Schizosaccharomyces pombe: one gene and its partners. The protein of the gene in region 1 binds, or shares a complex with, the protein of each later gene. Each region holds a gene or a part of one and is shown in the gene's direction. Other genes may lie near its edges.

Evidence for each region.
Region 2: cox24 (region 1) and sws2 share a complex: the UniProt entries of both Schizosaccharomyces pombe proteins name them as parts of the mitochondrial small ribosomal subunit.
Region 3: cox24 (region 1) and mrps8 share a complex: the UniProt entries of both Schizosaccharomyces pombe proteins name them as parts of the mitochondrial small ribosomal subunit.
Region 4: cox24 (region 1) and mrps16 share a complex: the UniProt entries of both Schizosaccharomyces pombe proteins name them as parts of the mitochondrial small ribosomal subunit.

Annotation. Positions count from the first base shown.
Region 1 is NC_003424.3:4,760,991-4,764,723, forward strand, and holds cox24 (mitochondrial 37S ribosomal protein mS38 ), read left to right. Parts: upstream 1-2,052; 5' UTR 2,053-2,088; coding exon 2,089-2,245; exon of another isoform or gene 2,246-2,287; coding exon 2,288-2,658; 3' UTR 2,659-3,232; downstream 3,233-3,733. Other genes in the region: splicing-associated factor Saf3, read left to right, coding at 817-1,884; ypa2 (serine/threonine-protein phosphatase 2A activator 2), read left to right, coding at 3,459-3,733. UniProt on the Schizosaccharomyces pombe protein: Component of the mitochondrial ribosome (mitoribosome), a dedicated translation machinery responsible for the synthesis of mitochondrial genome-encoded proteins, including at least some of the essential transmembrane subunits of the mitochondrial respiratory chain.
Region 2 is NC_003421.2:980,638-987,105, reverse strand, and holds sws2 (mitochondrial 37S ribosomal protein uS13m), read left to right. Parts: upstream 1-1,951; 5' UTR 1,952-2,114; coding exon 2,115-2,395; exon of another isoform or gene 2,396-2,465; coding exon 2,466-2,640; 3' UTR 2,641-2,862; coding exon of another isoform or gene 2,863-5,557; 3' UTR 5,558-5,614; coding exon of another isoform or gene 5,615-5,895; 3' UTR 5,896-5,960; downstream 5,961-6,468. Other genes in the region: P-factor pheromone Map2, read left to right, coding at 422-1,027; vid21 (NuA4 histone acetyltransferase complex scaffold subunit Vid21/Eaf1), read right to left, coding at 2,863-5,557, 5,615-5,895, 5,978-5,986. UniProt on the Schizosaccharomyces pombe protein: Component of the mitochondrial ribosome (mitoribosome), a dedicated translation machinery responsible for the synthesis of mitochondrial genome-encoded proteins, including at least some of the essential transmembrane subunits of the mitochondrial respiratory chain.
Region 3 is NC_003421.2:330,919-334,135, reverse strand, and holds mrps8 (mitochondrial 37S ribosomal protein uS8m), read left to right. Parts: upstream 1-1,569; 5' UTR 1,570-1,652; coding exon 1,653-2,111; 3' UTR 2,112-2,656; downstream 2,657-3,217. UniProt on the Schizosaccharomyces pombe protein: Component of the mitochondrial ribosome (mitoribosome), a dedicated translation machinery responsible for the synthesis of mitochondrial genome-encoded proteins, including at least some of the essential transmembrane subunits of the mitochondrial respiratory chain.
Region 4 is NC_003423.3:553,924-557,809, forward strand, and holds mrps16 (mitochondrial ribosomal protein subunit S16), read left to right. Parts: upstream 1-1,901; 5' UTR 1,902-1,969; coding exon 1,970-2,046; exon of another isoform or gene 2,047-2,475; coding exon 2,476-2,656; intron 2,657-2,922; coding exon 2,923-2,955; 3' UTR 2,956-3,325; downstream 3,326-3,886. Other genes in the region: sre2 (membrane-tethered transcription factor), read right to left, coding at 1-201. UniProt on the Schizosaccharomyces pombe protein: Component of the mitochondrial ribosome (mitoribosome), a dedicated translation machinery responsible for the synthesis of mitochondrial genome-encoded proteins, including at least some of the essential transmembrane subunits of the mitochondrial respiratory chain.

The DNA of each region.
Region 1 (3,733 bases):
ATGTAGAGAGTTTCGATGAATATTTCGTTCGTACTTTTGTTTTCTCAACGTCGCACCAATTATATGCACCTGATTTTTGCTATTTTACGGTAGTATCAAGCTCTGGGAAGTATGTACTCTCAATTAATGGTTATATTACGATAGTTGAACTTAACTTCACTATTGTTGCTAGTTGCCAGCGCTCGCTATCTGTATTTAGAATTAGAAGGTGAATTGAATTGAGAAATATAATCAATATAACAAAATTACAAGTATACGTTTGGTTTTATTTCTTCAAAGTTATTTTGGTATGAAAAAGTGAGATGCTGACAGATTTCAAGTCAAGAACTCTATATTTTTTAAAACCACTTCAACGAATTTTAGGATCTTGAAAAGTACATCATTTTTACTAATTATAGGAGGGTATTTTCAAAGGATATATTGTATGTAGCATCTAAATAATTTTTATGAAGGTCTCAAAGGGTTGACAACGGTTGTTTTTGGAAATACATTACATTGACCATAAACTGAAACGATGTATTTTACAAAAGGCAATTCAATTTTACAAACTTTCAGCTAAATATAAATTATGCCAGGATTCTCGTTCATTTGACTAGAATGTGTGCTTGTGATATTTGTTCTCGCATTGGTAAGTGCCCCGAAACCTCTTTGTAAGTGGCACCGTACCACAAATTGCATACATACAATCTATTATATCAGATATACAGTTTTATCTTGGGTGGTAGATAATAGATATATAATTTCCAATTCATATTTATATTGTTTTACCGGTTGATTGAAATTTGCCAACCAATTTAATAAAAAGCGTTTGTCAAGATGCCAATAGATACACCGTTGATACCCCATAAACCTATTTCAAGATATCGCTCTGGTAGATTGGAAGGGCTGGAAAGTGAGTCTTCTTCTGAAAGTGATTATGAAGAAGTTTCCGATTCACATGATCAAGAAAACTCGATTTCTTCATCAAGACATGTTATTACTCCAGTATTCGAGAAAGAAGGAATATCTGAAACCAAAACGTCTTCTAATTTCCAAAACATTAACCCAGTCCAAACAATTGATAACTCTGCTTCAGAATATGAGACTGACGCATCATCGGCAGAAGGGGGATCTAACTCTGCAGCATCTAGTTCTGAAGAAGAAGACTCTTCTGATTCGGAATATGAGATGGAGCTGAGAAGGCGGACACTTCTTCTTCCGCCAAAATTTACTAGTAAAGTCATCAAAAATCGGGCAAAAGCCAATGAAGAAGATACTGAGGTGCTTAAAAAAGTGACTTCACAAAAAATATTAGAAGAGACTATAAAACGGGAATTACTATTGAAAGAAACTAAAAACAATAATGAATTATTAAATGATATCGATGATACCGATGGAATTGATCCGCAAAGTGAATATGAATTATGGAAATTAAGGCATTTGCTTAGGAAAAAGAGAGACAAGGAAAAGTCACTGGAATTAGAAAGGGAAAAGATGGCAATTGAAGAAAGAAGATTAATGAATTCTGAGGAACGCGAAGCCCAAGATTTGAAGGACGCTGAAGCAAGTCGGAGAGGAAAGAAAAAGTCATCTATGCAGTTCTTACAAAAGTACTATCATAAGGGTGCATTCTATCAAAACGAAGATATTGTGAGTAAAAGAGATTATTCAGAAGCCACAGAAGGGGAAGTTCTTAATAAAGATTTATTACCCAAACCTATGCAAATTAGGGGAGATCTTTTTGCGAAGGCAGGCCAAACACGCTGGACGCATTTGGCAAATGAAGATACTACAAAAGAAGGATCTGCTTGGTATGATCCTAAAAACCCAATCTTGCAAAAAAATTTGCATCGTCTCGGTGGACTTCATTCTGACAGCCCACTCTCGAAGCGAAAACGTACCTAACATCTGTATATACATAAGGACAATTTTGTATTTCATTTAGCATTAATTTTATTTAACATCACATATATATTTAAATACAACATTCTTCTGAATTAATATCAAATGTGCACCACCCTTCCTCTTTGTAAGTGTTTAGCATAAGCATACCAATTCTTACCTTCCCGCAGTGCAAAGAGTACAACACATTTTTCGCCTTGGTCACCCATGTTACGAAGAGGTGCGCTTTCCACAATATTAAAAGGTTTAAACGGCCTTTCACTGCGTAGTCCCATACCGATTTGGCATGTTTCAGCTTCTCCCGAAGTTGGGTCGAAATATAACCTACCAACGGTTCCTACAACTTCACACGTTTCATATCGTCGTAAGTAAATTAAATACTTCTATTTCTAACTTCATTGCGTAGAAATCGCAAAAGCAAATTTCTTTGCTGGATATCGACCTTTGTCAGCTAATCAAATATGTGTGCCTAAAGTTGAGTCCAAAACACAAGTTTCGCAATCGCAGGATGAGGAAGATCAACCCCAGGAATATGTGTTATCTTTAGAGGATGGCTATTTGTATGCTCAATCATTCTCTGCATCTGGATCCGTAACTCAAACTCAACCCGCTCGTATATCTACTCAAGTATGGGAACAAATATGTGATAAGCTGATTTCTATTACACCTTTAGATTTGACCAGTGTCAAACGAAAAAGAAAATTGAAAATGAATAAACATAAGTTCAAAAAGCGCTTACGCCGACAACGAGCACTTAGGAAACGTCTAGGAAAATGAGATTATTAGAACTTATTTTTACTCGGGTTATATTTTTAGGTTGGTTGGATTGAGAGTTTAAGCTGTAAACAAGCATTTTCAAAATGGCTGCAAGCATTTATGAGTCTCTATTTTTAACTTGGATATCAGTACCTCTCTTTTCTTAAGAAACGTTTAATCATTTAATGTTTACTTCAGGCTTTTTTAACAAGGAATACATTTTCTCTCATGTATATTCTATCCTTTAATGTTCCGGTATGAGACAATTAGGTCGGTGCTTTTTTCTTGCGATAAAATCATTAAACAATCCGCGTTTATTTAACTATTTTCAAAAAGCGGAGCACTTATTTGTTTATGCCGGCTATCTCCTTCATATCAATTAGCTTCCCATGTCTAGTACTATTACAATACCTCCATCTTTGGCCCTTCCTTTTTATATTTTTAAATATTTGTCGATGGCTAGAATTAATGACATGTACACTTCATGTGAATCATAAATATGTTGTTGTATATCAAGCAATTAATAAACGCTTATTACACTGTATCTGTTTACACATAGAATAAAAGAACACATTGGTATGAAAAATAACTTTAGTAGTCGAAATTATTTCCTTAAAACAATTTTGAAAAAAAAAAAAAAAATTTCTACATTTCTTTCTTTAAAAAATGTTCTCACTGATTATAGCTAATTACAATAATGAAATGTAACGTACTGACGACTGACATAACAAATAACAACATAAGGAATATTGAAGAGCGTCCAACTGTATAATTTTTAAGGCTTTTGTTAATCTTGTCTTAACCGATCAAGTTATGCCAACATGCTTTCTAGAGAAGAGCAAAACCGGTGTTTCGTTCCTGTCCGACGAATTTTAGACAATGAAGACTTAAAATTATTTAAAGAAGGAGATGCTTATAAGTTAATTGATTCGTTTATTTGTGATCTTGACGAAGCTGTGAAAGACAAGCCTATTTCAGCTTCAATTCCGCAAAGCTCATCAATAGAGCATGTATTAAATATACTAGATCGAGTTGGAGAAATTAAACAGGAAAATCCTGCAATTGATAATATGGGGTCGAGGTTTGGCAATCCTGC
Region 2 (6,468 bases), on another chromosome or scaffold:
ATGAACAGTTTGAAAGCATAGAATTCCAGATTTGAATTGAGGGAAACGGAGCACTACAAAGATGTATAAATACAGGCATTCTGTCCCAGAAGAAAACCAGAATTCGTTCAAGTCTTCTATTTTACATATTCACTCTTTCTATTTCTTATTCTTCACTCTACAAGAACTCGCGTTGGGTGTGAATTTACATCCCTCTTGTCAACAAACCTGCTCCGTTAGCTAATTTTCTGTAAATTTGCTTCGATCTTTCTTATTCTAATCTTTTAATCCTTTTTCTTTTGGAATTTTGCCTTTTTAAACTCTCCCTTTTTTTGAATCAGTCAACAAATTATAATTTTCTTCTTTTATTTGCTAGTTCATCGCTTAAACTATCTTTCTTTTTCTAACTTATCAACGAAATTTTATTTTTTTCACATACATTATGAAGATCACCGCTGTCATTGCCCTTTTATTCTCACTTGCTGCTGCCTCACCTATTCCAGTTGCCGATCCTGGTGTGGTTTCAGTTAGCAAGTCATATGCTGATTTCCTTCGTGTTTACCAAAGTTGGAACACTTTTGCTAATCCTGATAGACCCAACTTGAAAAAGCGCGAATTCGAAGCTGCTCCCGCAAAAACTTATGCTGATTTCCTTCGTGCTTATCAAAGTTGGAACACTTTTGTTAATCCTGACAGACCCAATTTGAAAAAGCGTGAGTTTGAAGCTGCCCCAGAGAAGAGTTATGCTGATTTCCTTCGTGCTTACCATAGTTGGAACACTTTTGTTAATCCTGACAGACCCAACTTGAAAAAGCGCGAATTCGAAGCTGCTCCCGCAAAAACTTATGCTGATTTCCTTCGTGCTTACCAAAGTTGGAACACTTTTGTTAATCCTGACAGACCCAACTTGAAAAAGCGCACTGAAGAAGATGAAGAGAATGAGGAAGAGGATGAAGAATACTATCGCTTTCTTCAGTTTTATATCATGACTGTCCCAGAGAATTCCACTATTACAGATGTCAATATTACTGCCAAATTTGAGAGCTAAACTCATTTTATCTTCATATTTTTTTTATTTTCTAGTATGTTAGCCCACACATCTTTACAAAGCCATGTGAAGCAATTTTTTAAATTAATTGCTATTTTCGATCTATTATTTTACCATACGATCTGTATTCCTATTCGCAATAATATTTTTAATTTTCATCTTAGTCTTCATATTGTAAAAAAAAAAAAAAAAAAAAAAAAAAAAAAAGAAAAAACGTATAGTAGTTACAATATTACTGAAATCTACAGTACTATACTTCTTTCAGTTGCTTTGTTTTTTAAAGTTAAATAAAACATCAATTTAAAAACTGACTATTAAACCACATGATTTGCGGATTGCTTAAGTAATAATAAAAATGAACACTACCAATTGTGTTAAGCGATAAAATTAGTCATATCCCATATAAGAAGAAAGCACTGAAGTTTCAATTGAAATGCGGAAAGCTACTGCTCATTTAAAATGCCTAGGACCTGCACAAGCATAGCAATGTAAAGGAGCTGCACTTGAAATATATATGACAGTTGAGATCCGCAAAGCATTGTTAGAATATATAAAATTTTATTCCAAAACTTTTTACTGTACTTCCGCATGTACTGTTGAACATTCAACTTTGTAAGAGACAGTAATGTCGTGAATATATTTTTCAATAATAAATTTTAAACTGAGACCATTGAACGAAGGGATCATTTGAGTTCATAAATTTTAAAATTTGAACAGAAAAGGAAGGCCTTTGACGATATCTCTTCTTTATTTGTTTTTCTTCGTCTTACCTTGCCCTATTTATGGTCTTCTTAAACATCAAATTACACCTTAGATAGTAGCTCTTTAATGATTACTCAAATTGTCTTTTATTACTAGGCCCGGAGTCTGTACAATCTAACTAGTTTTCTAAAAATATGAGAGATCCAACTGTGTATTATATCTAAACACCACCACTCCACTCTTTTACAAGAAAGCCTAATACTTATATTCAGAACGGTTTTAAGCTCTCTGATTACTGATAGAGAACTGAATTACAAAACCAAATTGTCCACTTCATTATTGAGCTGGTTTCTGTCTCATCTGTTGATATCTGAGATTTTGCATCATGGTATACATACTTGGAGTGGCTGTAAACGACGATAAACCTGTGCGGTTTGCTCTACTTTCTTTTTATGGAATTGGACATGCCAAGGCTGAAGAAATATGCGCAAAATTATCATTTCACAATACGTTAAGGGTTCGAGAGCTGACAAATGTTCAATTGACAACGTTGTCGCAACTGCTATCAGGAATGACTATTGAAGGTGACTTACGGCGTCAACGGAATGCTGATATCTCAAGATTGGTGAATATCCGATGCTATCGGGGAATGAGACATGTAAACGGGTATGAAAAGATCATTTGTGAACGTAGCTGTCTTCGACAACTTTTTCAACTTAACTAATGAATATTTCAGGTTACCCGTTAATGGACAGAACACTCGGACGAATGCAAAGACTGCTAAGAAGCTAAACAAAGTCCCACGACGAGGTTATATGACACTGTCGCCCGCTTCTACAAGGCCCATCACATGGAGTTTTTGTCTACCGAGAATGGTGTCTGTCTTTCAAAAATTAAAACATATTCATTAGCTAAAATAACGTTTATGAAATCAAACTTCACTTATCATGTACACTTCGTATTACCTCGATTTGCTTGATTCTGTTAAAAAACCAACAACCGGGATACGAAAATGAAAACGTATTCTATTTTTATTGTGTGAGAGAAAAAGCTCTCGCCTCGTAATTTCCTTCTAATATACAACAGCACTCAAAAAAAATACAATAAATCGAAAAATTGCATTGAGGCGATACTTACTGTGTCCTTTCAGTAGTAGGTACAGTTTGCTTCCTTTGCTGCAACTGATGAATTTGTTCAGGTGTTAGTTTTAAAGAACTGGAAACAGCGTATGGCTGAAGCCTGGGGACCATTCTACCAGCTATAGGCGAGACACCCGCTGATGAATTGTTACTACTATTTTGTGAAGCAGCTACAGCTTGAAAGGCTGCTAGTTGCTGGTTGTGTTGTTGTGCACCAGCAGCAACAGCGGCGTTTTGCGGCCGTAGAGCCCTGTTTTGTGATTGCAATTGTGCAAAGTTTCTCTGAGCCTGTATTTGCTGTATTTGTGCCTCACGCTCAGATTTCAAACGAGAAAGTTCGAGAGGGGAAGGAACCGGCGGCAATTTTTCAGTTGAAGCTGCAGATGGTGCAATCGCTCTCTTGGTCATAGTGGGTTTTTTAGCAAACTCTCTCTTTTTAAGGATCTTTCGTATAGCTTCAAATATAGTAATGGGTCGGTAATGTCTTGATACAGTTGGCAATAAGAAGTAAGAATTATGTTTAATCAAATGGTTAGGTGTTCCTTCATCCCGTAAGGATAGATGTTGGCTAACTTTATCCGAATGTCTTAAGGATTCATCTAATTTCTGCTGAGCGAGTCTTGCATGGGAGCCAGTCAATTGGACATTGGCGGCTCTGGGATCCACTTGAATCCATCTTTCAAAACAATCCCACGCAGTCCGCTTCTCGGCAAGCGGTATGTACAAACCTGGTGGTGTTAACCTACTGGCAACAAATTCCCAATTAAAGGAATATCGTCGCAAGAGTAATAAAAGGAGTTCATCTTCTTCGGGCAACCAAGGGGCTTCTGGACGAATATCTTTACTAGAAGGCGGATACGGAGGCCGCACACTAAAGGTTCCTACTGAGGATAGCTTCTGATTATCATCCTTAATTTTATTTCCATCTAGCTGGTTCTCATCGCTTCTCGCCTTCTTTTCCATAAACGACTCAGGTGGTGATAATTCCAATTGGTTGAACAAACGTTTCCTAGAAGCCTTTGCACAGGTGGATTTAAGCTTTGTTTTGGCATATGCAAAACGTGACACAGGAGTGATCGGGTACTTTTCAGATATTTCTTCACAATATTCATTGTTTTCAGTAGGAGGACCGTACATAGGAACGTTTAAAACGCAGTTCTGAATTTGTTCGGAGTTTGTTGTCACAAATATATCATCCGAAAAAACAGCATTATAAAACTGTAAAGAATCCCTGGGAATAGAGAGCACTTTGTTGTTATTATTATCATTTAGATTAAAATGGCTCACTATTTGTTCATTAAACGTTTCCTCGTGAGAGTCTTTCTGATGTTCATTCTCTTGCATGTACGGCTTCTTATTCTTTGACAACGAAGCCGGAGTACAAACAGTACATTTATCACTAGCTTGATGGTAATCCATTACCCAATTCGCCATTCTATGAGCCAATATAATTTTCCATTTACGCTCTTGAGAAAAATCAATTGACATCCATTGCATCTCATCCAAAACATAATCCCGATGAGTTTTCAATCGTGGCATCTCGTTTTGTCTTTTGGGCTGTCTAAAGGACCAAATACCTTTTTCTTTTGCAACCGTTAAATGATGTAGTGATTGTCGTACAATTTCCTCGCGATACGCATGAGACCAGTTATCTGATAGAACATATTTATGTGCATTTTTCAACCTTAAATGTAAAGGCGACATTTCTGTTCGAAGCAGCCATGCTTCTGAGGAAAGCTCTGGTTTCACCGGTTCAGAAAATTTTGAAGGAGGAATTAAAGTTAGTGGCATAGATACAGAAAGTTCAAAAAGCGGAGCTTCAACCCCAGTTCTGTCAATTGTAGGGGATTTTTCCGATGGTAACTTATTTTCCATTTGTAATTTACTAGGCTCAACAATTTCATCTACTGGCTTCTCGTTGACATCAACCGCTACTTCCTGAACAGGAGATTCAGTGGCCTTGTCAACGGAAATGATTTGTTGTTCCGAAGGAATCTCTTGATTATTTAATAATTGTATAGTTTTTTCAATATCAATACCTGATTGTACATTCTCAACATCATTTTCAGTGACCTTGGCTTCAGGAGAATGAACTTCTTCAACTTCATCAACCTTTGGGACTTTATCTTCAATTTCCAAAACTTCTGCAACAGTGACAGGGGGAGCCGTAGGTTCCGTTGTCTCTGATACCTCTTTCTTTTTCACTTCTTTAGACTCAACTTGATCAGTCGCAACCTCTACCGGTTTGGTAACGGTCACATTTTCTTCATTCCCATCTTCCTCATGTTCCTTTTCGGTAGCTTCAACCACTCTTAATTGCTTATCGACTCCTTCTTCTTGAGAGGATTTGTTTGCAAGTTCTTCGGTAAGCTGTCGAGCAGCATACTCGCTATCTGGCGTCAAAGGGCCTTTTTCCTCTTCAGCATGAGCAGTGGTTTCCACTTCTTTTACGGGTGTTGTTGGTTCAATAGTTTCTTTCTCTTCTACGTCAATATTTTTATGTATAGTTTCAGGTGAAGGTATGGGAGATTTTGACGTTATAATTTCCTCCTCGCTAAGTTCTAGGGAAGTTTCTTTTAAAGGTGTCTCCTCTGAAACTCCTTCCAAATTATCGGGTTCTTCGGGAACTATCGGTTCTTCAACGATAGGAGTTACAGATTCTCTAGCTGAAAGATTAAAATTTCGCCCCCTTGCATGTTAGTTGTACATTTGAGGAAAATACAAAAAGTTACTCAATGAGACATACCTTTTAAAACGATACTTTTGATAAAAGTTAAACCACTCAGAAACTTGCTCTGGTAAAAGATCACTTGATGAATGAAGCCATTCTAATCCATTAGGAAACTTGCAATGCAACCAAAATAAAAGAAGTAACTTTTCATGTTTCTCTTTTGTTAACTTAATCTCTTCATTGTCTACAGAGTCGTTTTCTTCTTCTTCGTCTAGAGTAAAAAGGGAGGCAAAAGAATCTGTTATCGATAATTTTTCACCATCGACTAAAGCAATTTGACTGGTTTTGGTCTCCTTCTTTTTAATTAAAAATATTAATTAGTTATCGAAGTACAATAAAATTATCACTTTAAGGCCCGTAAGACTCGTAAAAACGTACCTGTTTCATAATCCCAATTTAAGCGGAATTACGCTGGAAAAAGCATACAAATCGTATTCTAGAAAAGACACAGTTTTGCTTTTATATTTATTGTATGATGATATAAAGAACTCAAGGATCCTGTATACTTTCAGACCTAATGTGAACGAAGTTAGTCTGATGGTGTTGAGGCCCCCCAAGGGATTTGAGCCCGCAATCAACCACCATATTAGGTGAAGTAGAAAAACAAGGAAATAGCACTCTACTAGGACACAGTTTTGAACTACAAGTACAGCAATAAGACTGTCTTTTATTTTCGTCTTTTTGTTGCTCGGAGAAATCGCTTGTTCTATTTAAAAGTTGAGACGTTACCATAAAGGTTATCGGCATATTTCAAAGCTTTAAAAACGTTTCCCTTTCAACTTAAATTATTCAAAAATACATTCAGTTGAGCTACATGCCAAACCTACTATCATATCATTCTAAAAAAACTATCGTTAAGTGATCTATTT
Region 3 (3,217 bases), on another chromosome or scaffold:
CTACTCACTCTGAATCATAAAGGACGAGTTGGCTGAAGACAATTCGCTTTGGCGGTTGGAAGCTTATATATACCAAACCCTAGATTAGGACTCATCATAGTTGTCTTGTATATAAAACCTACTTGAGTTATAAACTATATTAAATCAAAAAACTATCAAGAAAATATTTTATTTATCACTTTGTTATTTACATGCTTAATACATTCGAATTTTCTATATACTAAGGTCTATTTCTATACTTCTCTGAGCACGCAAACGCAACATAAGTCTTATTTAATTTCTGAACATAAGAAATATAAGCTTATCTTTAACAGCTTTTCTTAAATTACCGCATAATTTTGTATAGGTTTATGTTTTTTTAAAGGTTCCAAATCGACGGATTTTTGAGTTTTAACCCTTCTTTCTTTATATCGTGGTTGTGATTCAATAAAAGTGAACCCAATTGTTATTTGTAACCATTGACGAAAATTATAGTACATTGAATTACTATTTGTTTACTAGTTCTATATTAACAATACCGGGAGGTTCAAAATCAATGATTACTACTTGTTTTCTTTTTCTTGTTATATTTGCTTGCTTGAAATCCTCTTTATAGTTATAATACATTTTTACAACCTGCTTTTGAGAATATTAATCTGGCAACTTTCAAGTAAATGATTTCGGTAATTGCACTGATTTTTGAAAAGTGTTGATTTCGAACGTCTTTCAAATTAAAACGGACATTTTTTTATGAAATTAAAATGCCTTGTGCTTTGTGTAATACTCGTTAAACAGCTTACCGAAACTAACAACCTTTTTAAGAAGCGAAACTTAATTAAATCAATATATTATACTGAGTAAATCAGTAATTTCTGGACGATCGGCCACATAAAGAAGCATTATAAATCGTTCTCCATACTGTTAGGCTTTTGTTTTCAATTCACGTTTTCTTTTCTGTAATTAAAATATCAGTAAAGAATTCGTTATGCCATTATTTTATAAAAAATTTTTATAATCCTATACAATTGTGAATTTACATTGTATTCAAATGCTTTTTTACATCCCTATATTTTACAGGCGTTCGCTGTTGTACCGCTTGTTTTTTTGAACACTGCTTATTATAATTTTTTCGATTATTACATTTGCGAATACCTTTCGAGGATTTTGGAACTACTAAACGCACAAAAATTCGCTTCCCACTTCTGACAACTTTGTGGGTTTCATGGTAATTTGAATGCTATAATATTAACAGATTGACACAGCGATTTAGATCCATATTTTATTCTGTACAAAGTAAATCTCTAACATTTGGTAGACGGCTTTTGCCGTAATAACCGTTGGTTTTGCAATTTTGCGCCTTGTTTTCCAAACATAGTAAACCGGTGCTTTTAGTTTATTATATAGTGATTTATTGTGAACTTTAGTATCGTGTCGTTAATATACTACTATCCAGTGATTACTGCAATGTCCATTAACTTGCTAATAGTGTGTAACACTAGCTACACCGTTCACTACTTACTATTCTTCCAGTACAGAGAGAGGTATTTGGAAGTGACTAGCTAAACTGCATTCATACCTCTTTTCTTTCCTCAAAACACCATTCTGTATAGAAAAAAAAGGCTTTTATTGTTGGACTGCTTATAAAAGATTAGGATTGTGTTAAAAAAGTCGAAATGCAATTGCATTATGTTTTTTCGCATTTGCAAAATTCATTTCGCGCTCGCAAGTCGTTAGCAAGCGTTCCTAACTGTAACAGTGTGCTCGAGTTATGTGCTGTTTTGTATCATCAAGGATTTTTAAGCTCGATTCAACGCGGAGATATTCATGGACCCGATGCTTTACCCACAATCACCACTAGGCAAAATGTAGCGACCCGCCGTCTATGGTTGGGTTTAAAGTACTTTGAGGGAAAACCGGTTCTTCACTACATACGTGCAGTATCAAAGCCTAGTAGAAAGGTGAACTTGACTCCTTCTGAGTTGTTGCAATTTGCCAAAGGAAGGAAAGTTAGCTTTGTGAATGGGTTGGAGCCTGCAGAAGTTGGAATTGTAGAAACTAAACATGGTATAATGAGTATTGACGATGCAATTAAGAATAATTTGGGAGGAAACGTTATATGTCGAGTTAAATGAGGCTTCGATGGAAAAAGTTATTATTACGTACAACTTCTTTCCGGATACATTGTCTCCTTTCTCTATGTTAATAAGAGAATAAACATTACTCATTTGTTTTGAAAATTGAAGCAATATCTAACAGGCTGGTTAGATTTAAACTAATATGTTTAAGTTTTCCTTCTCTTCAGCTAAGGATCAATGGCAGAATTCCTTTTAAATCTCCCACTCCTTTCATAATAGTTTGTGAATTGAGATACTGCATATTTACACATCCCATTCATTAAAAAACATAGTCTTAATTCCCATTCCGCCAAAACATAAATCCTTTTGTTTTACTATTATTCGACTTGTGATTTACGAATAAATGTTTTTTTACACCTGAATTTATCCCGTCTCCTTTTGTCAACTCACAATATTCCATATGCTTAAAATTATACCCGCAGAAGCTTTTTTGGAATAGAAAAAATATTTGTGTTACTCTAGTAATGTAATGATAAACATGTTTAAAATACATAAGGAAAATCGTTTTATAAAATATATAATCGATGGAGATTGTATGCGACTTCTAAAGCATTGTGTAAATTAAATAAGGTTGATTAAGTACATAGGAAGTATTTACAAATGTATAATCTGTGAATGACAAGGATATGTATTTGTCAATACTGCATTTGAAAAATATATTATAAAACCATTATTAAGAATACAATTTATTTAGATCTATAATGACTATGGATAACAACTAGTCGCAATGGTGTAGTTGGGAGCATGACAGACTGAAGATCTGTTGGTCATCGGTTCGATCCCGGTTTGTGACACTTTTTATCAGCAATTACAGCTTTGTAAATAAAGCATTTAACACAATGAATTTTGTGCCAACGCTGAGTAGGAATAATATCTTTCTCTACATACTCTTTAACTGGGCAATCCTGGTAATGTATTTGAGTAATTAAGCAGTATTGAGTCTGTTTTCATCGGCATTGTTATTTAGTAAAATGATTGATTGATGAATGTACACTCTTTCGTTAATTGCAAGAATTTATGCTGTGATAAACAATCATTTGCGCCTTGGATTTTAAGTAGGCTAAGATTTATTTTAAATACTAATGATGTTGTAAATATAAAAA
Region 4 (3,886 bases), on another chromosome or scaffold:
ACGAGTTCCTACAGAGGGCACGTGGCTTATAGGGTATGAAGAAGATGCTGAAGACGAAACTATGGATGGGTGCTTGAAATCCATGATATTTGAGCCATCCACATAACTGGATGGATCAGCGTTTTCAGTGGGATTGGAAATCGCAGTGTTTTCGAGTTGACGATGAATATCCTTGAGCGACGAGTGTTGGGAAGGACACATAGCGAAGCGAATACCAAACAGTCGTTTTGGATATGAGTCAAGGAGAACGAAAGGTATTTATAGGTATTTAAAGAATGAAAAGTTTCCAAGACAAAAAGAGAAAGATTAAAAAAAGAAAAAAGAAAAAACACTCAGTAGTAATGGAGAGAATTCGAATTTCCGAACTTCTTGTTGATGAAACGCTAACCGCAAAAAAAAATTTAACAATACACCGTTTAATAAACGAGAAATTAGAAGAAAAGCGGGATTATTTCAAAAAAGGAGAGGAAGCGAAAACTAAAGGAAAGATAGAATGGGTGGAAATTGTAGTAGGAAAGCAAATAAAATTGGAACCCAAGAAAACGCCTATAGTAGTTGTCTTTGAGCGAAGGAAAGTATAAAACAACAAAAAATTAGGTTTTTCCTCTTTCAAGTTGAATTATTATGAAACCGGGTTGAACAGGAATCTTCAAGGTAAGCGACCCCAAGAACGCACTCGTTCACGAACTAACCAAGTAAACGAGACAAGATGAACAAGCTTGACAGGATAAACAATGAAAGAAGAAAAACTTATAAAAACTAAATATATAAAGGGGAATATAGTAAAAATTGGCCCCCAAGCTGCGTTATAAGGAATTGACAGCAATTATATGATGACGGAGAAGAAAGGAGTAGAAACTGACGCAAGGCAGGATGTAAACGTCAAATCTTCAGGTGTTCCGATATGTAATGAGTCTTAAAACTGCTACTAGCCTAAAACCTAGCACCGTTCATCCACAAAGCGATGTCCAAAGAAACGTTTCAATCCGATGTTCCTATTTTGCTTGAATCCGTCGACACAACACACTGACTTGACAGTAACCGGGAGTACGATGGCAAAAATCAATGTCAGTGGATCCAGCAATTCGTAACAACACCAAAAGAATGGGCAATTCAGAACAAGATCAAAATGCTAACTAAAAGAAGCCTAGGTGTTGGGAAATCTCAAAATACCAATTAACCGAACTCCCCAAACAACGATTCGTACGAAAGCAACAAAAACCCTCTAAGATTCAATCAATAGCTTTCTTGATCACTAGAAATTTTCAAGAACGGATGGAGTTAAATATTCAACAGGGATGCGCAATCTACGCGAGTCTTAAGTTATGTTTTGCTGTCGCTAAGTAGAATTTATGGGAGGGAGGAAAAAGCTAAAAGTAGACGAAGCCGCTTAAGCTAAGGAATGTCTATAGCGATTAACATTACGTTATAAGGATTGCGTGGTGAAAAGAAGGTTGGCAAACTACGCATTACATGAGTAACGTTCGTTTATGGTATCTCGTATACGCATTCTACAATCGCTTACAGTATTCCTGTTTAGCAAACTCGATACAAGCAAAGCATACCTTGAACAACGTGGAGAATGCTCGCTTTGTAGTATTCGTGTTACCGTAATTCGTGCTGTATCTCACTCCGGGGGTAGTGAATATGATCAATTCACACTGCTTATAAAGAGAAATAGAGTCAGCAGGAAGTAGAAAGATAAATGGAAGGAAAAGAACGTAATTTCTATCCCAGAAAACGTTTGAAATGATCTTTTGAAATTATGTTTTGTTTGTAAGTATGAACGAAAAGCAAGGCACAACGCTATTTTATAAACAACGGAGTGCACAATACGATACGTCCATCTGCTTTCCATCCTTGATACCTGCATTGTCTTCGTGTTTACTCAAGTTGCTCTTAACCATACTCCTACCACCAAGTGGGAAAGACGGGATTTGTAGGACTCGTTGAAAACCGGCTCTTCTCAATGGTAGTAAAAATTCGTTTGGCGCGTCATGGCGTCAGAAATAGACCTTTTTACCATATCGTAGTTGCGAATGCATGGTAAGTAGGATGAAAACATACCTAGACGGTTGTTTCGTGTTTTACAACACTTGTAGCGGTTCACGTAAAGGGGAAAGTTTTTGTACAGGATTTAGTAAGGGAGATGGCTTGATGTGGGTTATGAAAGAATGGAAGATAAAATGCTAAAAGACTGCTTTTTTTTGACGGTTCCTTTGGCTCTAAATTGCGATCTTTTTTAGAAGCTTTAGTTTTCAGGTATTCCTGGATGCTCTCATCTATTTAATCTAGTCTTTCTACATAGTATTCAAAATGCCAAGGACACCAACCACAATTTTTCTTATTAATTGACTATTTATTGTGGTTTGGCCCCCTTGGCCTCTATTAACTGTTTACATATCACCTGTACATCCTTTTTTTTCTCCTTCATCCATTCCTGTCTTTTGGTTCGACTTTGTTAACTCAATATAGGAAAGCACCTCAAGCCAAACCTATCGAAACCATCGGCACTTTTGATCCCATCCCTAAGAAGATTGATTCTCAGGACTCCATTCCTCGTATAAAAGATATCCAGCTCAACGTTGAACGTTTTAAATATTGGATAAGTGTAGGAGCACAACCATCCGACACCGTCCGCTCTTTAGCTGAAAAGGTATGCCCAAGCTCTCTTTATCTATTTTTATGACTAGTCCAAATTCGTTAAACTTTCTTTCAACTCTCTTTTTTGACTAAAATTTTCGACCCGCTTGCGATATACCGCTCGGGTGATTTTTCTCATGTTCCCTAACTGCCCGGCTTTCCGAAATGGAGTGTAGGATCTCATCCCTGTTTTCGTTACGATTTGGCTACTAATTTACTTGTTTTACTTCTTTCTATCAATCTATCAATTCTTACTAACGTTACTTTTTTCACTTTTAGTTCCAGTTGCTTCCTAAAAAACCCGTTTCTTGAAACTCACTATAATCGTTATTGCTCAAGTCATGACATTTCTTTTTTACGACCACTTCACAATGTCTAGATATCTTTAACACATTTTTTATTTTTTTTTACACTTTATCTCTGTGATCACGCTAATTACCTCTCTCAACTAAATTTCATAATTTTTGACCGATTTTACCCTTCCGTACTGTTTTTTTAAAACCACGTTTTTTGGCTGAGTGCGATATTTGTTTTCTTTACGATTCTTTTTATTACAATATCACCTTTTTTTTTTTAATTCCTTCTCCACATTATCGTTAGCGTAGTGATATCTTAATTTCTAAATTTTTTAAAGTGTCTATCTATCTGAGGTTATGCGCTAGTTGAAAGCGCTCATAATTTGATGCTATCCATTTGTAATTACTTGTTGCTTTGTACTTAAAATTGTTTGGTAATGAGAAATCTTGGTACCAATATTTTGCCTTTGTAATTTTTAGCTTTTGCGTTTATGGTTAAAATGGATCTTCACTTTATACTGAAACTTCATTTCGTTTACTGATGTTATACCCTTATTTTTTTAGAAACAAATTAACAGCTTCATTTCAAATATTTAGGTTAATATCGGTGTATCTATTATTGCTTAGATTTTTGGACTTTCCGTTCGGAAACGGCAATGCGCTTTGTTGCTTTCCTGATTTCCTCATTCGTTTAATTGGAACTGAACACGTTCATTAATAGCCAATTGCAATAGTTGTACAATTCTAACAAATCATTCCTGTACTTCCGTTGAATTTATAAAAGACTTGTCTCAAAGGATTTAAAATCGTTCAACAATGAATATTAACAACTTAATCGTTTGTAACAAAATATTATAAATGGTGAACTAGCCTTATAAGCTAATTTATTAACTGTACCAGAAGCAATTTACTTTGGTATTATTACCATATTTCATCAACCAGTCCAA